4 linked regions of the Callithrix jacchus genome follow. The protein of the gene in region 2 binds, or shares a complex with, the protein of the main gene of each other region. Links are inferred from orthologs where the notes say so. Each region holds a gene or a part of one and is shown on either strand. Other genes may lie near its edges.

Region 1 (7,503 bases), on a different chromosome or scaffold from region 2:
CGGCTGTCGCTTGGGGGAGCCGCTGCAGAGACTGGCGCGCTCTGCACAGCTGGGAAACCACACATGTTTTCCCCCGGCTGGAATCAGGGGCTGTGGCTGGGCAGCTGTGCTGTGTCCAGAGCCTCCGGGCTTCCTGGAACACAGAGCACATCGGATGATGGTTTTGCATTCAACTTTCATGGGAGAAACGCCACCACTGTTCTTAAAATGACACCCTTACTCTCAAATGGTACCAGGGGTTCCCAGCTCAGAGATACGCTGGGCCTCTCTAAAGCAGGGGGAGTTTCCTCTAGAATCTCAGACCGGGAAGAAGAAACGGCTTGCATAGGAACAAGGGTGTTGCCCCAGGCCACACAGAAGCGATTAAATATCCACAGGTGGAGTCTGAAGTGCGTCCTCTACACCCCGGGACAGCTGCCCTCGGCGACACTCACCAGAGCCAAACTGGTCACCGTCCACCTTGAAAGCCTGGACCCAGACTTTGAATATGTTGACGGAAAGCGCCTTGGTGACGCGGACGCGCTCCTCGGCGTTGCACCTGTAGGAGTTGCCAACGGTGGCCTGCAGCGCTCTCAGGGAGTTGTTGGAGGCTTTAAATGTGGGGTCTGCAACACACACACAAGTCAAGTAACTCCGGGGCACTCTGGGTGGGGAGCAGGGGCTCCAGAGATTGTGGGTTCTCACCTCTGGCGTCAGGAAGAGTTGTATTCAACTGGATTCCTTGTAGGAAAAAACGGCTAGAACTTGCATTCTTAAAAAGAAAGATGATCTTTAACCACTGAGTAGACTCGAACATCTATCATTAAACTTGAAAGGTCATTTGGTAAAAAATTTGACTTCCCATGTTTCTAGTTTTTGAACAAAACTACAGAATATCCTGTCTATAAAAGGCCAGTGAATTCCAGTTAGTTCCTTCCACGCCCTTTTCTGAGAGTCTTGCTCTGTCGCCCAGGCTGGAGTACAACGGTGTGATCATGGCTCACTGCAACCTCAACTCCTGGGCTCAAGCGATCGTTTTATCACTTGTGGAGACAGAGCCTCCCTGTGCGGCCAGGCTGGTCCTTCCAGACCTCTTCATAGAGTTAGAGTCTCTGAGAAGCGGGGCCTGCAGGAGCTCTTACGGCACAGGAAAGCATGATTTGGAAAGTTCAAATGGTAGGAAACTGAACTGCTAATTCATCTGCACAGCGACTTAAAAAGATTGACAAGTGACATTTATATTCTTCCTAACTGTGTTGCTCACTGCACAGGAGTGCTCCAGGCAGAAAGGCCACCCCGTGGCTGTAGGGCAGCAGCGTCTGAGGCCAGAAGGCCTCGTGGCCTCACAGCAGCAGCCTTACCCCTGCAGCCACCCCACTGTGGGCACGGCAGCCCCGCCCAAATCGATTACTGAGTAACCAGGATTTTAAAAAGGCAGGAAAAAGTGAGGCTGCCTTGTTCCTAATTCTGCTACCCATGAGCAGACCCAGGGCACAAGGGACACCCGGCCTCACCATCCCAAACTGGAACAGCAGGACCGTGCCACCCTCATCGCGCAGCTCCAGGGTCACCAGGTGGGTGCCACAGCTCCCGGTGGCCAAGGTCTTGTTGGGGTTGATGTTGAGAAGTTTTGTCACCGTCTGTAAGACAACCAAGCAAGTCATCACCCCAGCCAGGTCCTCCAGATGCTCAAAAAAAGAAAAACAGTCCTGAAACCATGAATTCAAGGCCACATTTGTTTTAACCAAAACGAGAAGGAAGCACTGTAAGTCCACACTGGTACAGATTTCAGGATCCCAAGATGACTCCTGGCCACTGTGACAGCTGCTTTCAGAGTGTGGCGTCCCTGCGTGGATGGCACCAACCAGCACCACCTCCCCCTGCAGCCGTCAACCCTGCAAACTCGCCCCCACAAACCCATAGCCTGTCACTATTAGGGGAGAAAAACTATTTCAAAAGAAAAGTATAAATATGTAACACTTAAATGTCTCAATGATAAACATGTAAAGAAACCTTATCTTCTATCGGGGGCCACGTGAATGTTTTCAGGCTCCATGGGCCACACTGCTCCGCATGCCTGCTGGGACAGCAGCCTTGGACAATAGAACCAGCAGGACAACTGTGTGCCTACAAGATGGACTCACTGACACAGACACCCCAGCTCTTGTCCTAGAGGGTCCCATCCTGCAAGCTGAGCTCCCATCCCCACTTAAAGCATGACCTGCAGAGATGTGCACTCTCAGTACACAGGGAGCAGAGGTCCCGGCCCTACAGAGGCCTGCTGTTCCCCCTCAGGTGAGGCCCACCCTACAGCTCTGTCCCCCTCTCTCAGGTGAGGTCCCGGCCCTACAAAGGCCTGCTGTTCCCCCTCAGGTGAGGCCCACCCTACAGTGCTGTCCCCCTCTCTCAGGTGAGGTCCCGGCCCTACAGAGGCCTGCTGCTCCCCCTCAGGTGAGGCCCACCCTACAGCGCTGTCCCCTTCTCTCAGGTGAGGCCCCGGCCCTACCGTGTTGTCCTTCCTCTCGTAGGTGAGGTTCAGCTGCAGCCCCATGCTGGCCAGTAGGCAGGTCCCGTTGGTGCCGTTCACACTGTACTTGTTCACAGAGGGGCTCTCCGGCATGGGTGAGGGCGAGGGGCTGGGTGGTGCGGGCGGCGCTGTGGTCGGGGAAGGCCCGTCTTGTTCACAGCGCGTCTCTGCAGGAACAGTGGAGGGAATCCAGGTCTGGGTTTCTCATCATCAGCAGTTACAGTAAGATCCAAACTCAGAAACCAAACTGACAAGGTGGCTCTCACTAATGCCTTTCTAGACGTACAGGACAGAGCTGAGTCCTGCAGACAGCAGATGGCTCAGGCTTGCAGGGCACCCTCAGCCTCCAGCTCCCACTACCCAGAATGCCCCATGGCTGGACAGTGTCCACTGTGCCACCCTCTTCCTAAAGTGAGGGTGAGAGGGCCTTGAACGCTGTCACAAAGGAGTGAACATAGGAGGCTGTGCTGTGTGGCTGGCCACGCCACCTCACCCCTCCCCACCCCATGGGAAATGGTGATAACTCAGTCACTGCTCCCTGAACTATCAAATGGGTGCCAGTATTGTGCTGGAAACACCACCCAGAAGAAAAGAGGGTCCACGGCGCACACAGCCCGGCCAGGTGGGACGCAGAGCAGCCAAGGAGGCCCTCTGGCAGGACAGGGGTCAGGTGGCTCTGTGAGGACCCCATGTGTGAGCAGAGACGCAAAGGTGGGCAAGGCTAGCCAGCTGCCTTGGGTTTTCATCTGGGGAGGGGGCAGTGGTGGGGATGGACAAGCATCCTCACTAGGGAGAAAGCAGCAAGTGTGGGTGCATCCTGGACAGGAGGGCGCAGTCCAGGGAGTCTGTGGAGAGGGGCCATGTGGCACCCCAAGGAGACTGAGACGTCCAGGGAGTCTGTGGAGAGGGGCCACGTAGTACCCCGAGGACACTGAGTGGTTCAGGGAGTCTGTGGAGAGGATCCACGTGGCACCCCAAGGACAGTGAGTGGTCCAGGGAGTCTGTGGAGAGGATCCATGTGGCACCCCGAGGACAGTGAGTGGTCCAGGGAGTCTGTGGAGAGGATCCATGTGGCACCCCGAGGACAGTGAGTGGTCCAGGGAGTCTGGAGAGGATCCATGTGGCACCCCGAGGACAGTGAGTGATCCAGGGAGTCTGTGGAGAGGGGCCACGTGGCACCCCGAGGACACTGAGCAGTCTGAATGTGACTGTCCCTCAGCATCTAACCCACCAAGATGTTCACAACACACATTTATATTGAAAGTCAAGGCAGACTGAACTCGAGGTAGAGCTCTGCCGACTCTTCTGTGGCTGATACTCACAGCCACACACCATCAACCTTGAAATTAGGTTCTTTCTTTTACCACCTTGTTTCTGTGAGCACTCAAAAACAGGATTTATATAATTTCTACCCAATTCGATCTTTTCCACATCTCCACTAGGCTGAGTCGGCACAAGTGAGCCCCAAATATCCAGGTGGGCAACCCTGTGGGGGATCTGCCGCCTGTGACTCCATCGGCCACTTGTTGGTTCTGCTTCCATCTCAACTTTCAGCGACCAATTCCCAGCTTCACATCCCCTCTGCCTGGGGGAGGGGAGAGCCAGGACCCTTCGCCTACAACTGTACCCCAAGTGGTTCTGAGACACACAACTCAGGAGTCCCCCACGCCCCGGTGTAAAAGCCCTTTCTGGACAGAGCAGAAGATGGCAGAGAGGAGCTACGGTAACCACACCAAGCTCTGAAGTGACAGGCACCACGGCCACCGGGAGCCGTCCCAACCCAGGATGTGCTCACAGACCTCGCTCACTCCTTTCCAAAACAGCCTCAGCTGCCAGGCACAGTGGCTCATGCCTACAATCCCAGCGCTTTCAGAGGCCAAGGAGGAAGGACTGCCTGAGCCCAGGAGTTCAAGACCAGACCCCATCTCCACAAATTTTTTTGTTTTTAAATTAGCCAGGGCCAGGCGCAGGGGCTCACGCCTGTAATCTCAGCACTTTGAGAGGTCGAGGCAGGTGGATCATGAGGTCAGAAGTTCAAGACCAGCCTGGCCAAGATGGTGAAACCCCATCTCTACTAAAAATACAAAAATTAGCCAGGCACAGTGGCAGGTGCCTGTAATCCCAGCTACTCAGGAGGCTGAGGCAGGAGAATCACTTGAACCCAGTGTGGGTGGGGTGGAGGTTGTTGTGAGCCAAGATCACATCATTGCATTCCAGCCTAGGCAACAGAGTGAAACTGTTTCAAATAAAAATAAAAATAAAAAATTAGCCAGGCATGGTGGCATGTGCCTGTAGTCCCAGCGATTCAGAAGGCTAACTTGGGACGGTCACTTGAGCCTGGGAAGCTGAGGCTGCAGTGAGCTTGACTGTGCCACAGCCTGGGAGACAGAGCAAAGACCCTGCCTCAAAACCAAAAAAAGCAGCTTCACTGCTCCTTTATAAAATGTTACAGAACACAGCTAAACAGGCAAAAGTTAATGTGCAAAACCGGCCAGTCTAGATGGCCACACAACGCAGGAAAAAAGCATCACCTACGCTGCTCTGACAATGTTTAACGTGTGATCCACATTCGTTTATCACCTTGTTTCTGTAAAGTGGTCACAAGAAGTCAGGCTGGAAACACCATGCCTAATCACCAGTTTAGAAAGTCAGAACTTGAGGAATAAGTGTGGAAAATGTCCTCTTCCTTCTACCCGAATTACAAATGCAAACCCACATTCTCCTTCCTTGATCACATACAAAACACCAAGGTCCATCCAGCAGAGGACACGGAGGGAGAGATCATCACAGAACACACTGCCCGGGGAGAGATGGTGGTGCAGGAGCCTCTGGGGAGCCCTGAGAATCAGGAGGCCAGGGGCACACCTCCCCCACCCCCTCCGGAGAGCAGCGGGCAGCAGGGTCCTCCCAGACTCTGCTGTCTTTCCAAAGCCCACGTGCTCTGAAGGCCTCTCCTCATCTCCGGGCAGCAGCAGACACTCACACCCACCTGCATGCTGCAATTCAGGGCCTCAAGGGTGTATGTGAGATTAGAATGATTTCACCCACACCCTCTGTTACAGTCTTCAGTTATAATGCTGGGTGTGTCAGGCCTCGGGGCAGGCCTGACTGCCTCCCGCCCCTTTCACCTGTCCTAAGGCAGGACTCTCATCTTCCCCGCCTTTCTGATAGGTTTTTTTTTTTGAGATGGAGTCTCCCTCTGCCGCCCAGGCTGGAGTGCAGGGGCGCCATCTCTGCTCACTGCAACCTCCACCTCCCAGGTTCAAGTGATACTCCTGTCTCAGCCTCCAGAGTAGCTGGGGCTCCAGGTGTGCACCACCACGCCTGGCTAATTTTTGCATTCTTAGTAGAGACGGGGTTTTGCCATGTTGGCCAGGTTGGACTCCAACTCCTAGGCTCAAGTGATCCACCCACCTCAGTCTCCCAAACTGCTGGGATTACAGGTTTGAGTACCTGGTGAGGCCTGACTATAGGCCTTAAGACCCGCAGATAGGGTCCTGCCCTACCCACTAGGAGAAGAAACGCTGAGGTCATGAAGCTCCCACAGAAGCCCAAGAGGACTGGGTTTGGGAAGATCAAAATCCGCTTACCCCAGGGAGGTTCCTGGAGGGTGGCGCCCTGGAACGAGAAGGCATGGAAGCGCAGTGTCCGTGTCCCTCCCCATACCTCGGCCCCCGTGTCTCTTCCTCTGTGTCCTTTCCACTATCATTTATAATAAACCCATAAATGTTTCCCTGAGTTCTGTGAGCCACTGCAGCAAATTAATCAAACCCAAGAGGGGGTCACGAGAGCCCCAACTTGAAGCTGGTGGGTCAGAAGTTCCGGAGGCCCAGATTTCCGACTGGACTGGGGGTGGGGGGGAAGGCACTCTTGGGGAGGGAGCCCTCTTCCTGTGGGACCTGACCTTTCTCCGGGCAGATAGGTTAGAACTGAATCAGAGGACACCCAGCTGGTGTCCACTGCTTGGTGTGTGGGGAAAAGCTTGACCACATGTGGTCACAGAGGCCGTCTGTGTTGATGATGGCTGCTGGAAAGAGGCAGTTAGAGAGCTTTCCCTACACAAAAGGGTGAGATGTTTCACCATGGCTTCCCTCCATTTAAGCTGGGATTACAGGCATAAGCCACCCCACCCCCGGCCACATCAGCCCTACTTTTAAGATCCTCGGGAGAGAAGGTACAAAGTCCATTCAAAGATGGCTTGTGCTTTATTTCCTCTAAAAGTACAATCTGTGAGGTCCCCAAGCTTTCTTAGACAAGACGACGTGATGAACTGAAAGGCACGATGAATGAGGCCTTCTGGTCACAGAAAGTAAGTATTTTAGACTTTGTGGGCTGTGGCTCTCTGTGAAGACAACACAGCCCTGTCACTGCTCATGCACACGCAGCCACAGATACTGTGTAAATAAATGACTGTGGCTGGGCTCCGAGAGAACTTCATTTATAGACACTGAATTTTACACCATTTTCATGTGTCAAGAAATACTCTTTCAGATTTTTGGTATGTTAAGTTTATAAACATAAAACCCATTCTTAGCTCATGGGCCCTATGGAAACCGGAGGTGGGCAGGACCAACCCAGGACAGTGAGGGGCCGACCTGCAGGGGTCCTGGCTCTTCTGGGAGGGGTATGACAGGACGATACCCCCCCCCCCGCCCCAGCCCCCGACCCCAGCCCGGAGCCCAGCAGTCACTCCTCGGCCTCAAGCGAGAATGCTGAGGAATGCTGCAAACCAAAGGTCCCAAGATGAGAGAAGGCTGTCATGTCTCCATACATACTCCTACCAGCCAGGAGCCACCCTAAGGCAAAGTACAGGCACTCAAGTTTCAGCTAAATGACAATGACCTATGACCTATGACCTTCCTGGACTGCGGCTCGGGAGAGAAGCTCAACAGTAACAGGATTTACCAGGTGTTTGCCACTTGCTCTGTGCCAGATGCTGAGATACACACTCTGCATACATTTCCCTTTTAATTCTATCAACCTTCTAAGAAAGGCTT
Region 2 (6,195 bases):
TAACCTGGGCAAAACCATGAACCATTGCCGTAATCTTACCATGGTCTGTAGACTTTGTAGCTAACAGAAGGAGACAGACCTACCTGTAGCTCATAAGGACATTCCCCAACTTACTGCCTCAAGTCACTCTTCTCTGCATTGAGTTTTAAAGGAACTGTTTAGCATTGGGGGCTGGGAGCTGTGGTTTACTCCTGTAATCCCAACACTTTGGAAGGCCAAGGTGGGCAGATCACTTGAGGTCAGGAGTTCTAGACCAGTCTGGTCAACATGGTGAAACCCCGTCTCTACTAAAAATATAAAATTAGTAAGGAGTGGTAGCATATGCCTACAATCTCAACAACTTGGGAGGCTGAGACATGAGAATCACTTGAACCTGGGAGGCAGAGGTTGCAGTGACATATCATGCCACTGCATTCCAGCCTGACCAACAGGGTGAAACTCCATCTCAAAAAGAAAAACCACTTAGCATTGAGGGTCATAGTTATAGCTAGTTTGTTTCTTGAAAATACCAGAAATTATTTGATTTACATCATGACAAGATTCAAAAGCAGAGAAATCATTTCTTAGCTCTTATGACATAGGAACTGTTTCAATTATATAAAACATATTTTAGGCCAGGCACAGTGAATGGCTCACACCTGTAATCCCATCACTTTCGGAGGCCGAGGTGGGCAGATCACCTGGGGTCAGGAGTTTGAAATCAGCCTGGCCAACATGGTGAAACCCCATCTCTACTAAAAATACAAAAATTAGCTGGGCGTGGTGGCAGGTGCCTGTAATCCCCACTACTCTGGAGGCTGACTCAGGAGAATTGCTTCAACCCAGAAGGCAGAGCTTGCAGTGAGCCAAGATCACGCCATTGTACTCCAGCCTGGGTGACAGGGTGAGACTTTGTCTCAAAAAAAAATACACACACACACATATATATGTATTTTACACTATTTTTCCATTGAATTGTAATTCATTTTTTAAACTAGGACCATTTGCCCCAATTGTTTCTTGTTTTGGGGGGCTTTTTTTGAGATGCAGTTTCACTATTGTCGCTCAGGCTGGAATGCAGTGGCTCAGTCAGCTCACAGCACCCTCCACCTCCTGGGTTCAAGCAGTTCTCCTGCCTCAGCCTCCCAAGTATCTGCGATTACAGGCACTCACAACCACTCCCGGCTAATTTTTTTTTTTTTTTTTTGAGATGGAGTTTTGCTCTTGTTGCTGAGGCTGGAGTGCAATGGCTTGATCACAGCTCACTGCAACCTCCGCCTCCTAGGTTCAAGTGATTCTCCTGCCTCAGCCTCCCAATTAGCTGGAACTATAGGCACGTGCCACCCTGCCCAGCTAATTTTTGTATTTTTAGTAGAGACGGGGTTTCACCATGTTAGCCAGGCTGGTCTCAAACTCCTGACCTCAGGTGATCCACTCACCTAGGCCTTCCAAAGTACTGAGATTGCAGGGGCACCACACCTGGCCCCGGGTAATATTTGTATTTTTGTAGAGATAAGGTTTCACCATGTTGGCCAGGCTACTTTCAAACTCCTGACCTCAGGTTATTCCTGCCGTCTTGGCCTCCCAAAGTGCTGGGATTACGGGTGTGAGTCACCATGCCTGGCTGATTTTTTAAAGTGATATTTTCAGTTCTTAGCTGGTCAAATTCAAGGATGCAGAACTGTGGCTTCAGAGAGCCAACTCTGAAGAGCCTTACTGTGGAGTTAAAGGGAGGATAGGATACTCTGTACAGAGGTTTTCAGGATACCTCTGGAGCTGTCCCCACACCATTAATTGTATTTGTGCTTTTGTGTCTTTCTCTGTTTCTCTTTTTAGTCTAGTGGCAATACCAGTGTATGTGAAACATAGTATCAGCTTTAAGGAGAACAGTTCTTGTGGCAGATTTGATATAACAATTGGACCAAAGCAGAATATGGGGAAAACTATTGAAGGAATTACAGTGACAGTTCACATGCCAAAAGTTGTGCTGAACATGAACCTGACACCCACACAAGGCAGCTATACATTTGATCCAGTCACCAAGGTACAGCCACTTCAAATCAAGAGTGAGCAAGTGTTTCTGCAATCTATTTTGTGATTTGGGGGGAGGGGTGGGGGGAAAGGTTTAGCACCTTGTTTAAAACTAAAGTTTGTATCAAAACCTGGAGAGCATACTGTACTGTGCTTCTGCCACTGGCTACAAAGGGAATCCTGCACCAAGTAGATGAACAGAAAAGCGAGTTGTTCTGTCCTTTTTCAGAGTGTGTCTTCACTCATCCATTATTAATCCAGAGCCTCATTCTGCTATCTAATAAGAAAGAAGTAAAAGTTTTTTTTGTTTTGTTTTTTTTTTTTGAGACAAGAGTCTTGCTCTTATTGCCCAGGCTGGAGTGCAATAGCGTGATCTTAGCTCACTGCAACTTCCGCTTCCCACGTTCAAGTGATTCTCCTACCACAAAGCCTCTTGAGTAGCTGGGATTACAGGCAAGCACCACCACGCCCAGCTAATTTTTTTGTATTTTTAGTAGAGACAGGGTTTCACCATGTTGGTCAGCCTGGTCTCGACCTCCTGACTGCCCACCTCGGCCTCCCAAAGTAATGGGATTACATGCGTGAGCCACCTCACCCAGCCAGTAAAAGCTTTTTTAAAAAGAGAAAACATTATGTAGATAAAAGAATTATGGTCTATGAATTATTAAGTTTTCTATGTAAATTGATCATTAAGACCTTTTTCTTTTTAATTTAAAAGCATCACTTCATACTCTTTCTTGGGGCTAGGAAAGATGCTCACCTTACTTACATTTTCCTATAGCAGAGGGTTTTTAGAGAAACTGTAGCAGATTATTTTCTCCCAGCTTCCTGCTTAGGTAGTAAATATGATTGTTTTCAATACCAGAGTCATTGCGGTGCCTGATAAATGAAAAGACACATTTTTTGAATAATGTCATAGAATGTTAAAGATTATTTAATGTGGTTGCAAGGATTCAAAGGACCTCCTCCTGGACACCACACAGGGCTGAGAAGGAAAGTTTCAGTTTCCTGGCCCTTTACCGCAGCTTCAACTATGACAGCTTTGCTTTTTTCTCATTTGCTGTTGAGCCTCCACACTAAAGATTTCATTTGAACAATGGGTTGCACAGCTAAAGTTTTTAAAACACCATCTCAAGTCAATCTAATGATTTTACAGAAAAATTAACAGGCCCAGAGAAAAGTAGTAAAGATGGTATGATGGAGAACATTTGAAATCAGAGGGTCTTAGGTGCAAATCCCAGCCTTTCCTCTGACTAGCTCTGTGGCTTTGAGCAAGTCATTTGATCTCTGACCCTTAATTTCCTCATTTGTAAATAGAAGACAAAAGCTACTTCACAGCCCTCAATGAGACAACATATGAATAGTGCTAAGCACAGTGCTAATACAAAAGAAAATGCTCAACAAATGTGGATTCTCTGCTCTCACTTCCCATTCAAAGTCACAGAGCTAATCAGAAGTAAACTCATTGTAGATCCCAGATACCTTGTTTTCAATAGACTGCACTTCATTTTGTACAGAAGTTTATGGTGTCTTTAAACCTTCTTTTTGAGGGTTTGTCTTTAATAGATAGTTCCATTCGTTCATCATTTTTTTTGTCTTTCCAAGGTACTAACATGGGATGTGGGAAAAATTACTCCACAGAAGCTCCCAAGTCTTAAAGGACTGGTAAATTTACAGTCTGGAGCCCCCAAACCAGAAGAGAATCCGAGCCTCAACATACAGTTTAAGATCCAGCAGCTTGCTATTTCAGGTAAGAGTAAGGCTCACTTGTAGTTAAGGGTAATTGAGTTTTACAAGCTCAATTATTAGGCACTTAAAAGGGTAACAAAATTTCCCACTCTAGAAAGAGCAACAGCCCATTTGCCTTTTGCACTGTGCTTGGGAGACCAGTCTCTCAGGCACCAACCAAATGATTTTGGAGAGCGCCTTGTTTCACACAGCCTCCCCTTACCTCTGCCCTCATTCAAGCACCAAAGAGGGAGTTGTTCATATTTACAGAAAGTAGAGTTATACTTCACAGACATTCCCTGCCTATGTGGTATGCTTAACCAAAACCATCCCATCAAGTGCAATAATTTGTAAATGGTAAAAGAGATGTTTCTTCCAAATGGTAGAAGGGACACTGGTTAATGTCAGATTTACCATGCTCATTGCTAACATTATATTGGTTGAGATCATGATAATTTATTCTTTTTCACTCTTTTTGACACAGGCTTAAAAGTAAACCGTTTGGACATGTATGGGGAGAAATATAAGCCATTTAAAGGAGTCAAATACGTCACGAAAGCTGGAAAGTTCCAAGTGAGAACATAAGAAGAGGCCAAAATTCCTCAAGACCAGTTTGTCTTCCAAGTGTCATTACAATGTATTACTATTAGATACCAAGTGGGTGGGAATACATATTCTAGTTAAAGCATTTGTGACTAGCTACACACCGCTAACAAAGTTGCTTAGTTATCAGTGTAGAATTCTTAAGGAGCTTTAAGCTAAGGAAACCTTTTAGTGACTTAGCTTATTTTGTATCTTTTCACTTAGGAAATTTTTGGAGGTAATTTTTTTTCCATAGGAGGGTACCATCTAAAGGCTGCACATTGTAAGAGTAAAGGCAGAAAGTTATACCTCTCTCCTAAAAGGAGTTAACTGTCTCCTCCAGCAGAAGCTATCTTAATCTGTGATGTGTCAGATGCAGCCAAATACCACACCTTCTGATCTTAGCCATCCCAAACCAGTATCTGTCCCAAGAGAGGAAATTCTCCCCACCCCCAGAAGTTTACAGAAAACTGCCTCTTCAAGTGTTTGCCTTATTCAGCTTTTCACTTGTGCCATTAAGCAAGCACTGTAGCAAAAGCCACTTCCACATGGCCCTGGCAGGGAACACTGCTGCTCCATGCTCCATTCTCACTGTACTTGGTATTGTATTTTTTATAAATAAGATTTTTATGTAAAGCTTAGAATTTGATTTACAGGGACCTTGCTGCAGTAAATACCATCTCAGTTTTGTGCCACTAGTTCAGCTGCTAGCACAGTAAAAAAATCATTTGTATCAAAGGGGCAAATGCTTTATTAAGGTAGTAAAAGGGAACATTATTTATGCTTTTAGGAAGTTACTGCAAGCACAAGCATTTGTGCTTTTAAGCAAATTAAAGTAGTAAAAGAAAAACTTAAGTGAAACTTTGCCATCTTCATGTTTTATAAACCTTACCCAACACCAGTTAAATCATAGTTAACCTAAATGTCTCATCCCCCGGTTCAGCAAAAGGAGGAAAATCTGCCTGCCTCACTGTCATCAGTCTTTTTAAATCTTTTATTTTTGTTGTTAAGGGGTTGAATTTGCTTATATTCCTTGTCTTTAGGGGAAATTAATATTGTGTGCTTCCCAAAGCTATAGTCAGATTTCTTCCAGAAACTATTGTCATAATTGTCACTGGAGTGCTTAAATGTACCTACTATACTGACAAAATGCATGGAAGTGCGTTATAATGAGGCAGAAACAAAATCCTTGGTAACATTGATGATACTGTACGGATCACCATGGTTTTGGAAAGTCAGTCAACAGTTGTATAATTGCACTCAACTTCATTGTGTCATTTCATTTAAGTTCTTCATCTTGGTAGTCCTTATCCAGTTATTTTGCCTCATTAGACATCAAGAAATGGAGAAAGCCTGAAAGTTAAGCTATAAGTGCTTGTTCTTCATGTTTCCTTATTATTTATGCTATTTTCTCTTCTCTTTGTGGCTCCATTCTTTTCTTCTTTCAGTCTTCTCAGCTTATAACTGTATTTCCCTTACGCTAGGATAGCCCTTACACTCATCCTATCTATGTTGTTGAGGGCTACTGGTTGGTGCTGGTACAAGGAGCCCACTGAGCAGTTTTCTTACCTTTGCCTGCCCATGATACCCACCCTGCCTTTCATGGAATAAGAAAGGCCACGTTTTGCAGCTTCTAAATTTCTAGAGAAACTAATCTCAGATTGGCAATTAAAGTCAAAATGTTGCCAAATATTTATTCCTTTTTCCTAAGTTCAATTGCTTTTTGTTTTTAATGTTGACTCCTCAGAGTTTGTACCTCAAAAGAACAATGAGAACCTTTGCTTTTCCTTCTGCTGAATCCCTAATCTCAACAGTCTATACTTGGACTGTCCAGTTCTCCTCCTGTGCTATCTTCTCTTCTGTCCAACTAGAATG
Region 3 (7,505 bases), on a different chromosome or scaffold from region 2:
TGGGATGGGGCAGAAGCCCCAGCCTGCAGAGCCTCCCCGACGCCGAGTGGAGCCTGCACACCTTGGCGATGAAGGACAGGGTCCCCTTGAGCTTCTGCGCCGTGACGACGCTCTGGATAGTGAACACGAACTGGGCTTCGTTGGAGACGCCTGGCAGGGGTGAGAGGGAGGGGACCTGAGATGCAGCCGGGGCTCAGCATGGGTGGGGCCCCTGTGTGTGTCCTCAGTCCTGAGTCCTCTGTGGCTGATCAGGAAGCTGGGCTCAGACCCCAAGGGAGCACCATGGGACAGAAGCAGAAACAAGAGTACTGGTGTCCCCAGTTTGGCCTGAACCTGGTCCCATGCCCATTTCACAAAGGGAAGATGCAGCCACTGGAGCCACAGAACCCAGGAAGGCCCCAGCCCACAGTCCAGCCCTCAGGGCTCTGGCCATGTCGATCCAAGGCCACCGCACTTCTCAGAGCTGTGGCAAGACCCCGACATTCAGGAGGCACTAGGGTGCAGCCTGGGGACCTAGGGGACGTAGGGGGGTAGCAACAAGAACAGCAGATCCCACCAAGCTCCCACAATCCCCAGGGGAGGCCGTGAGCAGGGCGAGGCTCACCTGGGGGCAGCTGGAAAGGCACAGGGACGCCATCGTGGACGGAGGAGCCCTGCGGCCGGGCCATCCTGGCATTGAGTGAGTCCAGCACGCTGAGCTCCATGCCCTTGAGGACACTGTTGCTCCGGTTCTCCAGCACGATGGCCACAGTGACCTGGCTGTCCTCCTGCAGGCTGCCCCGAACGTCACAGGTCTGCGGGCACAGCCAGTGTCAGCAGGGCAGGTGGGCCACCCGCAGGGAACAGGCACAGGCTCCTGCCTCTCAACGGCCATGGAAGCACAGACCAGGGCCCCCCAGCCTCAGCCGGAGTGCCTCCCGTGGCTGCTCTGTGACACATGGCAGGGACCCTCAAACCAGCCCAGGCCTCAGGGCATGTCTTCCACCTCACCTGAGCCAGAGGGGCTGCCAAGCAATGCCCCCGCAGGGATCTCGCTCCCTGGGCACACCAGCATGCAGGACTTGGGGACCTTGCCAGGTTCTGCACAGTCCCACGCCAAAGAGCATGCGCTGGCCAGCCCTGCCCCAGGGAACGGAGCAGCCGCCACTCACCATTTTAATGTAGGAATTTTCAGCAAGGAGGGAGTAGCTGGACTCAGGCTGGAGAGAAAAAAGTCACATCAGCCTCAAAGGCCAGGCCCTGGGCTCTGTCGCAACAAAAACTCCAGTGCTGCCCAATACCCCAGGTCAAACGCCACGACTCCAAGAACGCTTGGGGCGAGGGGGCTTCAGAGGGGCCTGTGAGGGATCCCTGGCTCCCAGGACCACACAGCCCACCACGGGGGTGCTGAATGTGGGGCCGCGGGACCAAGCCAGGCCCAACCAGCTCAGCTTCTTCTGGAATCTGCTCCCTTCTCTCCCGCACGGAGGCAGCAGGAGTGCGGAGCAGCCCGCAGCCCGCCAGGAGCCCTGGCGCGGGGCGGGGGCGCTGAAGTACCCCTCACCGGGAGCGGCTCCTCCTCTGGCGCGCCGTTCTGCACCGGCTCCCGCGCCGCCTCCCCTGCCGCCTCCTCACTGCCCGGAGGCTGCTTCTTGGACTTCTTGCCCTTGGTGCGCTCCTCCTTCTCCTTCTTGTGCTTCTTCTTCCTAGGCTTGGGGGATTTCTGGAGCAGGAGGAGGGGCCGTGTCAGTTCCCAAGCCGCTCTCGTGCGTCCTGCTCACAACACGAGGTGGGAGCCACAGGCCGGGCTGCTCAGGCTGAGGGTCCCACATGCCTGGGTGGGGTGGCAGGACCAGCCCCGCCTCAGGCCTACCGGGGCCCAGCCCAGGCCAGACCCAGCTTAACAGAGGCCATGCTGTCCCTAATTGGCAGCAGGCTGGCCAAAGCAGCTCAGGGAACAGTCCCGGCTGACCAGGGAGCCACGCGGGGCAAACTGGCGAGGACACCAGACCTGATGCAGCAACCCATGCCCACGTACACACCCGAGAGGGAACACACACATCCACACACACTGCACGATCGTTCAAAGCAGCCCAAGTGGCGGAGGAATGGGGTCAGCACAGCGTGGCCTCGCCACACACTGAAACACGACCCAGCCACGAACAGGAACCAGGCTCTGACTCAAGCCCCATCGTGGACGCACTCTGAGGACATCATGCTCAGTGAGACATCAGACCCCAAAGGCCACACAGCGAATAATCCCATTTCTATGAAACATCCGTCCGCAAAGACAGGACGGGGAAGTGTGAGTGCCAGGGCTGGGAAAGGAATGAGGAGTGACGGCTGGAAGGAATGGGGCTTCTTTAGGGGTGATGGAAAGTTCTGGAACTAGAAAGAGTTGATGCTAGTTCACAACTCAATCTATGGAAAACCACCATACACATACTTTAAATGAGTAAACTCTATTAGACCTGTGAATCACGTGTGAATAAGGTTATTAAAAGGCTGGGTGCAGTGGCTCATGCCTGTAATCCCAGCACTTTGGGAGGCTGAGGCGGGCAGATTGCCTGAGGTCAGGAGTTCGAGACCAGCCTGGGCAACACAGTGAAACCCCGTCTCTACTAAAATACAAAAAATGAGCTGGGTGTGGTGGCGTGTGCCTGTAATCCCAGCTACTTGGGAGGCTGAGGCAGGAGAATCGCTTGAACTTGTGAGGCAGAGGTTGCGGTGAGCGGAGATTGTGCCACTGCACTCCAGCCTGGGCAACACAGTGAGACTATCTCCCCCTCACACACACACAAAAGCACCAAAAAGAAGTGGTTATTAAAAAAAGAGAACAAAAGTTGCGGACTCAGCCTCAGAGCGCAGAACCACACGCACAAAAGGCCCACGAGATCACCCACGCAAAGGCCAGGGTAGGGCTGCCCTGGGATCTGGGAGGCGGAAGCCGTGTGCAGCCCCACCTGGGGGTGCTGGGCTCATCCGGCCCTCCACAGCCCCCGGGGGCAACAGCCTCACCTTGTCCTGCTCTTGCCCCTCAGCACCGTCCTCTTCACCCTGCGCCTCCGTCTTGGTGTCTTCACACTCGTCTTTCGAGGCAGTGACGGGGTTCACACCGGCCTCCTCCTGCAGGGAGTCGGGACTCGGGGCTCACGATGGGCAAGGAGGGGACCCTCCACTGCACCCCAGGCAGCCTCCCACACCACACCCTCGGCTCACCCTCACCCCAGGCCAGTCCCGTGCCCCCACCCCACCTGAGAGGCCAAGATGCCCTCCAAGTGACAGGGAGCCCGCAGGTGCAGAGGCCCTGGCTGACCTTCCCTTCCCCTGGCCCCTGCTTGGCCCATCAGAACCCGGAAGTGTGACCCCGGCTGCACCCAGCTCAGGTTCCACAGGTGGGCGGTGCTGACTTTGAAGGCACAGGGCTTCAAGAGACCCGGGCTCCGCCCTGAGTGCCCGCATGACCTCTGGAGACACCCAAAGCCAGCACCAGCCAGCTGCCCATCTCTTACCGTGGAGGGAACAGGGGCAGGGGCGGGGGCAGGCGGTGGGGTGGTAGATAGCCAGAAGTCCAGGTCCGCAGCCTGAAACCACAAGACAGGCTGTCCGCAAATGCAGCGCATGGTCCTGGGAAGGGGGGCCGGGAATGGCAGGCCCCATCTGCCCTTGCTGGCCCCCAGGGCCCTGGACTAGCTGGGCCTTGCGAAGCCTGGGAATCCAGGAGCTGATGGCAACATCCTCAGCCGGCCCTACTGGCTCTGGCTGTCGCTGCCAGAAGGCAGCCAGGGACAGATCTGTGCATGGGTATGCGCCATCCCAGTGGTCAGAAGGCTTGTATCCAGCGAGGCCCTCTGATGTGGGTGTGGAAAGGGCCCCAGGCCCTGAGAACATGTGCTCCTTTGAAAAATCCATTTTTAGCCGGGGGTGGTGACTCACGCCTATAATCCTAGCACTTTGGGAGGCTGGGGTGGGCAGATCACCTGAGGTCAGGAGTTCGAGACCAGCCTGACCAACATGGAGAAACCCTGTCTCTACTAAAAATACAAAATTAGCCAAGCGTGGTGGTGCACGCCTGTAATACCAGCTACTCAGCAGGCTGAGGCAGGAGAACCACTTGACCCCGGGAGGCAGAGGCTGCAGGGAGCCGGGATGGTGCCACTGCACTCCAGCCTGGGCTACAAGAGCGAAACTCCATCTTAAAAAAAAGAAAAATCCATTTCTTTCTCTATGTGAAACTCTGCACACAGACGCTGCAGAATTGGTTCTGGAGCCGCATGTGAGGGCAACGTCTCAACCACGCTGAGCTCTGAACAGGGGTGAGGACAGGGCTCACCCACCGGACCATCGGGTCCTCGGGTCTCCCCCGACACAAGCACACAGGCAGCTCCCCTCTGACGCCACTTCTGCACTCCACCAGGCCGCAGAGCGAGGAGGCTGGCGCTCGCTGCCTCAGACTCACGGCCATTTCCCCGGAGCGGCCCACTGTCCCCAGCCAGTCTGTGAGTTCAGGGCAAGGGAGGGGAATGGAAGAGGATGCTGCCCTGGGCACGGGCCTTACCTTCTTCTCCTTCTCCTTCTTCTTTTCCTTGTCTCTCCCTTTCTCTTTGTGCTTCTTCTCTTTCTTCTTGGGTTTCTTGCTCTTCTTTTCTGCCACGGGAACGTCCTCCTTCTCAGGGGATTTTGATGTCTCCGCATTTCTGTGTTTCTGGATAGGCAGCTTCTCGCTGTCGGCTAAGGGCCTGGAGAGGGGATGGCCGGGGCACACATCAGCATCACTGGCCATGCCCCAGGTCTGCTGAGTACGTGATGTGTCCAAGCGCATGCCCAGGACATCCCAGGCCACGCAGTGCAAGACCTGCTCCTCCCGCCCCTGGCCCCCAGCCATGGCCTGAAAAGGATCTGCCCAACACCGCCTGCTGAGGCTGCCATGGGAGGGTCTGTGGTGGCCACACCCTGCCCCGTCACGACCTAGACACCTCAGAACCCATACTTAGGGTCTTGGTTGGGAAGGCCAGCCAAGAGCAGTGCAGTGAGGACGTTGCCTGGGGAAGGCCCGCGAGCACCCCATGCCAGCCTGCCCCCCACCTCCAGAGCCCCACCCCACTCACACCCCACCCCCCCATCCCGCCCACCCTCCAGAGCCCCACCCACCCACACCCCACCCCCCCACCCTCCAGAGCCCCACCCCTCACACCCCACCCCCCCCAGCCCGCCCACCCTCCAGAGCCCCACCCCAGCCCGCCCCAGCCCTCCCCAGCCTGCCCACTCTGTGAAGCGAGGCTCTGCTCAGCAGGCAGGACAGGAGGAAGGGAAGCAACCAGCTGTGGCCTCCACCCTCATCTTGAACCCACATGGACTCACTTATCAAGGTCAATGTCCAAAGCCCTGTAGGGGTCATTGGGGTCTTTGTCATCTTCGTCACTGGGCAGAGCGTTCTGACAGGAAGAGGGGAACTCCATCAGTGACACCCGCCCTGCGGCCTGGCAGACCCCATCTACCTCGGACCCAGTGGGACTGCCTGAGACAACCAGGGCCACGCCCACGAGGACCACACAGGCAGGTGGGCGGCAACGTGGCTCTACCCCAGAGGCTCCAATCAGCATCCAGACACCAAGGGCAGCCGGGCCCAAGGAAGCAGCAGACCAGCATCTGCCGCTGAAGCTGCCGGCCCAGGGCAGGTGAGTGCTGGGCCGGGTGAGTGGGGGCATGCACTGGAGGACAGAGAGGCCTCTGTTCTATGCTCTCTGGGGCGGGGAAGACCTCGGGGAGAGGCCGCTGTGCACAGCCCCAGTGACATGTGTGCTGAAAGGTGGGCGCCCCCGGGCTGGGCCGTCCAGCGAGCTGACCTCCGGCATCTCCTCGGTGACGATGTCCACCTGCTGGGCGGGGGCGATGTCCTCGTCACTCTCCGTGGGCAGTGAGCCATGGCGGCGCTTGCCCTTCTTCTCCTTCTCCTTGCGCTTCTTCCTCCTCTTGTCCTTCTCCAGCTTCTGCTGATGCCGCCGCTCCTCCTCCAGCTTAACGTACTGGTCCGACATGGGCAGTCCTGCAGGCAGGCGGGCCCTCAACACTGCGCCCCGGGAGCTCACAGAGAGCGCGGCAGGAACACCCCACGGCCCATGTGACAAGTGCGCCCCTGTAACACTGGAGACACTTGCCTGGAACCTTCAAAGGGACGGAGAGGTCGATCTGCACCACGGGAATGTGCTCCACACCCGGCGTGTCTTGGTACCGCTGCAAAAGCAATGTCCAGGCGTGACCACGAGCCTCCCAGCCCGGCAGCCTCAGGAACCAGGGGTCCTGCCGCAGCCCCAGGCTTCAAGGAGCGCCGTGAGCAAACGCATCCCGAGGACCCAACTCCTAGACAGTGAGGGCTGGAAAGCTGGTCACTCGAGTGACCCTGTAGGCCTACTGCACAGGGAGAAGCAAATCCTTGTCCTTTTTTTTTTGACAGAGTCTTGCTCTGTCACCCAGGCTGGAGCACAGTGGCATCATCTCGGCTGACTGCAACCTCTGCCTTCCGGGTTCAAGTGATTTTCCTGTCTCAGCCTCCCGAGTAGCTGCAAGTACAGGAGTGCGCCACTGCGCTGGCCGCAAATCCTCGTCCACTTTCTCTCCTCAAATGAGGAAAATAATGTGGCCTCAAGCCCAAAGTGAGGCAGCAGCTCGCCCACAATGGTGTGCATCAGGGCCGGACGGCAGCTGGGTGCTGAAAACACGAAGTGGGGACCCCGGACTGGAGGCCTCCAATAAACAGGACCCACAGGGAGGCACTGCTCCTCCAAGGCTCCTCATGGTTACTGCACATCCCCAGCTCCACGCCCAGGATCTGCCTGGGGAGCCTGAAACTCAGCGGGATGCTGCGGGGCATGGACGGTGAGGATAGAGGGTGCTGAGGGACAGAGCCCGGGGACCTGCCTCACCTTCTGTGGTGACGGCGAGCTCTTGATGTAGAAGGGGTTGTTGGCCTGCTCCTGCTTCCGGGCCTCTCGGCGCTGCAGGACAGGGCGTGGCATGAGTCTGAGAGAAGCAGGCCCGATACCCCTCCGTGGATGTCCCCCACCAGCAGCCGCCCAGCCAGAGGAGGCTGGATGTTTGGAAGGTTTCACCACTGAACTTTTACTAGCAGGGAAACCAAGGCCCGCAACTGGAAGGAACTCGTATTGGGAAAAGGAATCGCTGACCCTCTAGGAGGCAGGGACACCCAAGCCTCCAGGCCAGGCCAGGACCAGGACCCACAGAAGCCGCTGACCTGCTGGGGCCAGCTGGCTCCTGACGAGCAGTGCTCACACAAGCTGGGGTCGCAGGGCCCGGAGCCAGGGCTGCCCAAAAGCATGGCCTGGAGGGTACAGGCACACAAAGCCCCGCACGCTCGAAGCCCACACTGGCTGTCTCCTCTGCAGGTGCAGGACGGGAGGAAGAGGCTGCAAGAGGGGCTGCCCTCCCAGCTTAGATGAGCAAGGCAAGGTGGAGCCCTACATGGGGCCCAGGGACTGTATCCCCCTCCAGAGGGTGGGGTCCAGGGC
Region 4 (8,115 bases), on a different chromosome or scaffold from region 2:
TTCAGTTTAGAAATCTGGCAATATCTATAAAAAGTGTGCATATAATCTGTTCTAGCTATTGGACTTTTGGAAGCTTAGCTAATGGAACATTGGTATAAAGACATGTACTGACAGAGTTGGTGTAAAGACCTGCACTGAGAGTTGTTATAATGGTCCAGAACTGGAAACAGTCTACATGTGTATCAATAGGCTATTGATTAAATAAATACAGGTGCACCTGTGGAATGTAATACTATGTAGATGTTTAAAACAATGAGAAGCAGTAAGATGCCGAATGGTATTATAGTTTTAATTGGTATTTGTAGAAATATGCACATTCAATATTTATTTTTCTATGCTTAGAGAAAAAAAGCCTGAAAATATATACACCACACTTAACACCTGCTATCATGAGGGTTAGATGAACAGAAACTGAAACAGAAAATTTGATAAAGGTTTTGTGAAGTGCTGGGGGTAAAATAGTTTTTGAAAAAGACATAGCTTATGCAAGACACTACATATGCTGGCAGGAAACAGAAAAATCTGGTTTGGCTTGGTAACAGGTGTCAAAGAGTAATCTTTTAGTTCTGTTAATGTTTCTTCTGGTTGGAAGTGTGTGGACTTTTTTTCCCCTGTCAGAAAACTTCATGGCTATCTAAGAGATTTTTCAATTCTGGAGATATGGAAACGTTAGACTATAGCCTATGGAGTTATTATTTTTTATCTTTCTCTAAGAATATACAGTCTTAGAATTTTAAGGCAGTAAGGGACCCAAGTCCCTTCTTGTCAATGCTCTCATTTTCTTTTTAGTCATAAAAAGAAAGTTTTATCTATTTCCTCCAGGAATATATGCTTTGTATCTTATATGTAATATTCCAGAGAAAAAGAAAGTTACCCCTAACTCTTTTTTGAGAAATAGACATTGTTAATATCCACACCATTCAAGGACAATGTAAAAACAAACCAACCCCCCGAAAACAAACCCCCCAATCAAAAACTCCAATATTGTAGGTCAATCTCGTACCTGAGTCTGCATGAAAAAATAAAAATATTGTAAAATAGAATCAAACAGTTAATTAAAAATGACAGACTCGAGGATAAAGAACTATTCAAGTCCATCGTAAAAACTACGCAACATGAAAGCGGATAAATAGGTTCATGTACAGTTCCCAGGGAATAAAATGCAAATGGAGTAATAATGACATAAAATATTCTCAATTTCATTATGATCATGAAAATGAAAATTAATTACAACATAAATAATATTCGTTTTATATTGATGACAATAAAACATTTTTAGAAAGCTAATCGTTTGTGAGAATGTGAAGGAAGAAGATTACACATCGCCAAAAGTATGCTGGAAAAATATTTAGGATATCTGGTAAAAGTACACATACTCCAAAACCAAGAAATTCTATAATCAGGTACGTATCAGAGATTTTCCAGGATATGTGTATATCAATGTCTTCATTTTACAAATAAAGTAACCAAAGCCTAGCTCCTTTTATTAATATATATAAAATTACTTAGTTTTTATATATGTGCCTGATATATATGAAGCATTATATAATATATAGTTATGATGATGATCATCAATAGTCTGTTATAGGTGAAATTCTTTTAATTAATATCATTAATATAGACAAACAACACATTTTAGGTGCTCATCGTTGCATCTCCGGAGGTATTCTAACCGCTGAATTAAAAACCTGCCAAGATTTGACAAGACGAAGTTTGGAGGACGTTCCTTCCTCTCCCACCCAGAGCCACGCTCGTGCGTGCTTTCACAGTGACAGTGTGTCCTTTTACACTTGGAGAGCACATTCTGATTCTTGAAAACGCCCACCGCCTTCCCAGAAGCAGCCGGCCTTTAAGGATAGCGTTCTACCTGGTAGAATCCCTTGACAGTTTCAGTACCTGGCTTCCATGACTTTGGGTGTTAACGCCTGCCTGGACGGGAGGCAGTGGGGAGAAGAGAGGGAAGGCGCTGAAACTCACAGGAGAAGGCGGGCTGGGGGTAGGCACTCCTGGAAGGAGGTTTTTCCGGCTGCCAGCACCCGGAGAGAGCTACTCCGGGGCTGCCTGGGCTTGCTAGTGCATCTTAGTGAGTGACAGTAAGGGGACAGGACACTGGAAGAAGTTGTAGAAGACAGCTGTGCCTGGCGCGCGAGTTGGTCAATTTTATTTTTGGTAGCTAGACGGCAGTAGGGCGCACCACTTCAGCTCCAAACGGAAACTGGTGGCCTCAAAATTTTTTGTTTTTTTCATTTTTTGGTAGCTAGATGCTAGCAGGACGCACCACTTCAGCGTCTGTGGAATTCCCATACGGGAACTGGAGGCCCCGAGATGTTTTCTTTTCTTTTTCTTCCTTTTTTTTTTTTTTTTTTGAGACAGGGTCTCGCGCGGTCGCCCAGGCTGGAGTGCAGTGGCGCGATCTCAACTCATCGCTACCTCCGCCTCTTGGATTCGAGCGATCCTCCCACCTCAGCCTCAGTAGCTGGGACCACAGGCGCGCGCCACCACGCCGGCTAATTTTTATATTTTTTGCAGAGACAGGGGCTCGCTATGTTGCCCAGGCTGGTCTCGAGCTCCTGGCCTCAAGTGATCCACCCGCCTCGGCCTCCCAAAGTGCTGGAATTACTGTTGTGAGCCACCGCGCCCAGTCTGCCTCCAAGATTTTCGTTGCAAAGATGGAATGGTCGTTTCTCTGCGGATCCTCCAAACTATCGTTGGGGGAGTCCTCCTTAAAGTCTAGGAGAAAAGTTGCCTGCGGCGGATGGGAAAGTAAGGCAACGCCGGATGGAGAAAAGTAGCCGAAACAAGCAAGAAAAGGAAAAGTGATAGCGAAGGGTTTAGGAAAGTTGATCTGGCGTGGTAAATGGCGTTTCCGGAGAAAACAGAAAACTATTGCTTTACAGAGGTCTAGCAAAGAGCTGTCCGGGCTCTGGAAACTCCTTAAGGGATCAAAATGGATGCAAAGGGTTACCTTCACCTACAACACCACTTAAGGGTCGGGAGCCGGGCCGTTCGCCCCCGCTACCTCCCTTCCCGCGGGCAGGCTCGCGGCCGCTCAGCTACCTCTAAAACCCGGAGCAGGAAAGTTCGCGCAGGCTTGGACGGCCCGGGTAGGAGCCGGACGGCCCGCATACTGCGCATGCGCAGGGGGTGCACGGCCAGGTCGGCTCAGGGAGCCGTGACGAGTCCGGAAGCGCCTGCGCGCGTCTCTCAGTAGGGGAACTAGTTTTGTTCCTTGCCGTCTGGACTGGAACCTTTTGGAGACGACCCCCGGCTGGACCAACCCCGCACCCGCCAGCACCACGGCAATGTCCAGCAACAGTTTATCTTACAATGAGCAGTCCGGAGGAGGAGAGGCGGCGGAGCTGGGTCAGGAGGCGACCTCAGCCATTTCCCCCTCGGGCGCCTTCGGCCTTTTTAGCAGCGATTTGAAGAAGTAAGGAGAAAGGTTTGGGGTGTGGGGATGGGAGGGAGGAGCTGGGGACTCCGAGGAGTCGGCACCGGGGTGGGGCTCCCTGGAGAGGAGCGGGGTCGCCCAGAGACCTGAGCGGAGCGGGGCGGCAACTTGTCCCGCGGGTGGGTGGATGGGGTTGGTTGGCGGTGGTGGGAGTTGTAGGAGTTTGGGGCGAGTGTTTGTAGGGGTCTCTAGTAGTTTTCTTAGAGAAAAGAAAACCACCTGGTGAGCTTAGACCCCCCCCCCCCCCGAAGACGCTGATTGAATTGGACTTGACTGGGCTCAGGAGTTTGAATTTTGAGCATAGTTTTCTAGTTTCATTGATAAATTCCCTGATTAGGGTGAAACGAGGATTTTGGTGAAAGTGAGTGCGAGTGTTGCTTGTGGGAGTTATTTTGTGGCCCCGGAGTATAGGAGCAGAGAGGTGGATTTGGGCTGTTGGAATGGACAAACTGGTTTATACCAGTATTAATGTTCTTGGGCAGTATCCTTTGCACTACAGTCAAAAACACCAATCCAAAATAAGCATATGAATAGAAAATATTTAGAAGGAGTATTAACTTGGAACAAATCCTAAACTTTTACAAATTAATAACGTGAATTTTAAATACGAATGTTAAACAAGGTACACTTAGTTTTGTAAAAAGTACCACCGAGAAATGGAAGGAAATCCCAAGTTGATTTTTTTTGGGGTGGGAGGGTGGGATGGTGGTATTGGTGGTGGTAGCGGTTACATTTACCAGAATCCTGGTAACTTTGTTTATATTTTATTGCGTTTCTCTTATTTTAAATCTTTCATTACTAAGCAATATGGGTCACATAATAGTCTGTTGCTAAATTAAGGTAAAATAACTGTGCTGGTAGCTTTGCAGGTATATTAGAGGGTATAATTAAAATTTAAATTAAACGTTACTATTCGGTGGTCTAGAAAGTACTACTAGTTGAAATTAGGATTACATTTTGGTTGTATTGATGATCGAAATAATATATATATATAGCATGTAAGATACAATCTTTTGAGTGTTACTGTCTTCTAGGTTAGAAAAGTTTAAAAGTAAGGTAACTGGTTTTGTTTTGCATTATGTGCACTGGATAGATAATCCATTATTCTAGCATGGAGCTTGTTGCCTCTACAGTTGTATTAGCAAAATGTTTAGACCGAATTAACCTGTAAATCGGCATTAATCTATTTTGCAAATCAATTTACTTCTGTGATTTGTAAATCCCAGCACTTTGGGAGGTGAGGCGGGAGGATCACTTGAAGCCAAGGAGTTGGAGACCAGCATGGCCAACATGGTAAAACCCGGTCTCTACTAACAATCCAAAAATTAGCTGGGTGTGGTGGCGGGCTCATGTAGTTTCAGCTACTCAGGAGGCTGAGTCAGGAGAATCCTTGAACCTGGAAGGTGGAAGCTGCAGTGAGCCGACATGGTGCCTCAGCCCTCTGACCTGGGCGACAGAGACTCCATCTCAAAAAAAAAAAAAGGAAAAATATTTTTGTCTGATTTGGACCTAATTTGGGGGGAAAAAAACAAAAAACAAACAATGTATGGCCTTGACTCTGTGACCAGTGGTCTTGAGGGTGACCTAACAGTTTGGGTTTAATATAAAAGTAGTTAATTGATTAGGGGTGATATGTAATGATATGTAATATATGCAAATTACCATGATTGAATTGTGTTCCTCAAAAGATATTTATTGAGTGTTTGTGCATTTGTGCACACCGATTTATATTTATTGTCTGATTCAGTCTTCGTAACAGCCCTGCAGGTTATTACCAGGTACTTCTCTGCTCCCATTTTACACATGAAGTTAGCATGGTCGTTAACTTGTGAAAGCTAGAACATTACACTGCCTGAATTTGAACCCAGGGGCTCCAGTATTAGAGCCCATTCTCTCAAGTGTTTAGATGTGCTACTTACTACTTGATGAAAGTTATGGTATTTTTATTAGTGAGTGCATGCAACTCACAAAAAGTTTGAAACTTTAGACAGTAGCTTTAAGTAGTACCACCAGAGAAGCTTCCAGGGATTAGAAACATTTGGCTATTGAACTGAAATCTAATGGAATTGTACAGAAACAAGGAGACCTCTGTTCTGAAAGTGGTCATTCAATCTCTCTTGAGTCCACATTTTCTCATTTATAAAACTGTAATATTATTTGCCTTTAAGAAAAAATCGAATGACAAAATTTATGTGAAAAACTTAAAGCTTACCCTGTTCCTCAGCTCTTATTTTTCATGGTTTACTCTGATCAAGTTTACAAAAAAGTTGCAACAGTAGCACAGAGAGCTACCCTTTTGCAGGTTTATCATTAAAAAAATTGCTACACTGCTTGCTTTGTAGCACTCTGTCCTCACTCTCTCCATGCATATACAGGCACATACACATTCATGTTATTATGTCTTTGGAACTATTGGACAACTTCGGTTGTACACATCGTGTTCTTTTACACTTTAAAATCTTACTGTGTAATTTTTAAGAACAAAGATATTCTCTTATACAACTGCAGTGTTGATGCATTCAGGAAGTTTAATGCCCATACAATCGTATGTAATCATTTGTTCTAATAAAGTTTTTCTTTTTCCCCAGCATTTTTTCCCTCAAGTACAGGATCTAGTCCAAGATAATATATTTAATTTAGTTGCCATGTCTCTTTAATCTTCTTTAATCTAGAATAGTTCCTTAGCCTTTTTTGTCTTTCATGACCTTGACATATCTAAGGAAGTCAATTATTTTATTCTATGTGAATCAGTTTGGGCTTGCTGGTGTTTCCTCTATTTAGATTCAGGCTCTATGTATCCTTGGCCGGAATACTACCATAGGTGATACCTGCTTTTCAAACTATTACATTTGAAGGCATAGGGTGTCCATCTTCATGATGTTAATTTTCCTAGTCACAGGGTTGTCTAGTTTCTCTATTGTATTATTGCTATTTTTTTTTTCAAATTATGTGTGGGGAGACACTGAGACCATGCAGATGTCTTGCTCCTTATTAAATTGACCACCTGTGCATTTAACAACCGTTGATCAATCTCCTGAACCTGTCTTTTGCACCATGGCTGCAAAATGGTAATGTTTCATCTCTCTAAGTCCCTCTACTGCCCTGCTCTTTGGCTTTTTGACCTACAGCTGTGTTCTCTGATCCTTCACTAACCATCTCAGTGATGCCAAAGTACTTCCTAGTCATGGTATTATTGGTGATTTTTGTTTTCTGAATTTAATCTTATTTATCAGTATTATTTATCCTTTCGCCCCCCTTCAAACAGAACCAGAATTAGATGGCTTTATGAAAGGAGATCCTATACCTAATTTGTTGGCTAAAAAGGCCTGTGTATTAGATTATTGGCTTCAAGATTTTTAATTTCTCTATTTAAAATGTAAAGAACTTATTTTTGTACTCTTAGGTTTTAGTTTTTGAGATATGTTTTGCTCTGTTGCCTTGGCTGGAGTGCAGTGGTATGATCATGGCTCACTGCAGCCTCAGCCTCCTTGGCTCAAGTGAGCTTTCCCACCACAGCCTTCTGAGTAGCTGGGACTACAGGTGCATGCCACCATGCCCAGCTTATTTTTGTATTTCTTGTAGAGATGGGGTCTTGCCATGTTGCCCAGGCTAGTCTCGAACTCCTGGGCTTGAGCAATCTGAATGCCTCATCCTCCCAAAGTGCTGGGATTATAGGCATGTACCACTGTGCCTGGCCACTTCTTTCTTTTTAGAATGTTCTCAGCTTTTATTGTTTCTGTTTTTTTCTAAGTTATTTTTCTTTTTAAAAAAACTTCTTTTAACCAATTTGGGTTTGTGTGTATATAATTAAAAATAATTTTAATAATTCTATTACTGAATTAAAAATTTAATTAGGAATTAATTTCCAGAAACAGACAAGACTAATTAATTTTTCTTAATTACAATAGTAAAGCTACTAAATTTGTAAATCTCTCTTCTTTTGAGAGCATCATGGTGTATTAGAAAGAACACTGAAGCTGGAATGGTGGCCCACACCTGTAATCTTAGCATTTTAGAAGGCCCAGGCAGGAGGACTGCTTGAAAACCCCAGAGTTCCAGACCAGCCTGGGCAACGTAGTGAGACCTTTTCTCTATAAATAAAAATGGGGGGGAAAACCCAAAAATCATTGGACCCAGAGTCAGAAGACCTGGATTTAAGCTGGTGTTTTCCACTTGTAGTAGTGCTTCTTTGTTCAAGTTGCTGACGTATTCAAACCTCAGTTTCCTTATTTCTATGCAGAATGTAATAATACTTGCCTCTTTTTTTTTTTTTGAGATGGAGTTTCGCTCTCGTTACCCAGACTGGAGTGCAATGGCACTATCTCGGCTCACCGCAACCTCCGCCTCCTGGGTCCAGGCAATTCTCCTGCCTCAGCCTCCTGAGTAGCTGGGATACGCCACCATGCCCAGCTAATTTTTTGTATTTTTAGTAGAGATGGGTTTCACCATGTTGACCAGGATGGTCTCGATCTCATGCCCTCGTGATCCACCCACCTTGGCCTCCCAAAGTGCTGGGATTACAGGCTTGAGCCACCGCTCCTGGCCAATACTTGCCTCTTTTATGAGGATCGTGGAAGATGGTGTCCTTCAAAGTGGTTTTTAAACTAGGATATTAACTAACACTATTTGGGAAAGTTGGTGAAGACTTCATTGAGTTAGTGACA

The links.
Region 1: the proteins of AP3M1 (region 2) and LAMP1 are in contact, whole or in part, in a cryo-EM structure (PDB 9C5A), measured with the Homo sapiens proteins. The link is inferred for Callithrix jacchus from reciprocal best matches to the Homo sapiens genes AP3M1 and LAMP1. Residues at the interface, in NP_001307192.1 of Homo sapiens: Glu178, Tyr180, Phe181, Asp182, Gln381, Val389, Asn390, Arg391, Leu392, Phe402, Lys403, Gly404, Val405, Lys406; in NP_005552.3 of Homo sapiens: Ser410, His411, Gly413, Tyr414, Gln415, Thr416, Ile417.
Region 3: the proteins of AP3M1 (region 2) and AP3D1 are in contact, whole or in part, in a cryo-EM structure (PDB 9C5C), measured with the Homo sapiens proteins. The link is inferred for Callithrix jacchus from reciprocal best matches to the Homo sapiens genes AP3M1 and AP3D1. Residues at the interface, in NP_001307192.1 of Homo sapiens: Ser25, Ser27, Asp30, Tyr31, Glu34, Pro52, Asp104; in NP_003929.4 of Homo sapiens: Lys29, Glu388, Gly389, Thr390, Thr391, Arg393, Glu429, Arg432.
Region 4: the proteins of AP3M1 (region 2) and AP3B1 are in contact, whole or in part, in a cryo-EM structure (PDB 9C5A), measured with the Homo sapiens proteins. The link is inferred for Callithrix jacchus from reciprocal best matches to the Homo sapiens genes AP3M1 and AP3B1. Residues at the interface, in NP_001307192.1 of Homo sapiens: Met1, Phe15, Leu16, Glu17, Trp20, Lys21, Ser22, Val23, Gln26, Val42, Glu43, Asn44, Val45, Pro46, Pro47, Val48, Ser50, Tyr55, Ser58, Ile59, Tyr60, Gln71, Thr72, Glu73, Val74, Pro75, Pro76, Leu77, Phe78, Ile80; in NP_003655.3 of Homo sapiens: Leu60, Lys64, Val67, Gly68, Ile70, Ala71, Lys72, Gly73, Ile92, Glu93, Lys96, Leu97, Val100, Arg104, Glu107, Asn128, Gln129, Leu130, Arg137, Arg143, Ser163, Pro164, Tyr165, Lys168, Asn169, His172, Gln175, Lys176, Leu202, Ser206.

Annotation. Positions count from the first base shown.
Region 1 is NC_133502.1:28,766,421-28,773,923, reverse strand, and holds part of LAMP1 (lysosome-associated membrane glycoprotein 1), read right to left. Parts: intron 2,674-7,503; coding exon 2,486-2,673; intron 1,620-2,485; coding exon 1,494-1,619; intron 752-1,493; coding exon 685-751; intron 606-684; coding exon 435-605; intron 1-434. UniProt on the Homo sapiens protein: Lysosomal membrane glycoprotein which plays an important role in lysosome biogenesis, lysosomal pH regulation, autophagy and cholesterol homeostasis.
Region 2 is NC_133513.1:56,081,204-56,087,398, forward strand, and holds part of AP3M1 (AP-3 complex subunit mu-1), read left to right. Parts: intron 1-1,815; coding exon 1,816-2,023; exon of another isoform or gene 2,024-2,045; intron 2,046-3,615; coding exon 3,616-3,760; intron 3,761-4,222; coding exon 4,223-4,323; 3' UTR 4,324-6,195. UniProt on the Homo sapiens protein: Part of the AP-3 complex, an adaptor-related complex which is not clathrin-associated. The complex is associated with the Golgi region as well as more peripheral structures.
Region 3 is NC_133523.1:1,991,048-1,998,552, forward strand, and holds part of AP3D1 (AP-3 complex subunit delta-1), read right to left. Parts: intron 6,975-7,505; coding exon 6,903-6,974; intron 6,214-6,902; coding exon 6,138-6,213; intron 6,026-6,137; coding exon 5,826-6,025; intron 5,415-5,825; coding exon 5,341-5,414; intron 4,719-5,340; coding exon 4,538-4,718; intron 3,564-4,537; coding exon 3,492-3,563; intron 3,106-3,491; coding exon 2,998-3,105; intron 1,703-2,997; coding exon 1,544-1,702; intron 1,200-1,543; coding exon 1,152-1,199; intron 795-1,151; coding exon 605-794; intron 151-604; coding exon 62-150; intron 1-61. UniProt on the Homo sapiens protein: Part of the AP-3 complex, an adaptor-related complex which is not clathrin-associated. The complex is associated with the Golgi region as well as more peripheral structures.
Region 4 is NC_133503.1:132,754,861-132,762,975, forward strand, and holds the start of AP3B1 (AP-3 complex subunit beta-1), read left to right. Parts: upstream 1-3,183; 5' UTR 3,184-3,302; coding exon 3,303-3,430; intron 3,431-8,115. UniProt on the Homo sapiens protein: Subunit of non-clathrin- and clathrin-associated adaptor protein complex 3 (AP-3) that plays a role in protein sorting in the late-Golgi/trans-Golgi network (TGN) and/or endosomes.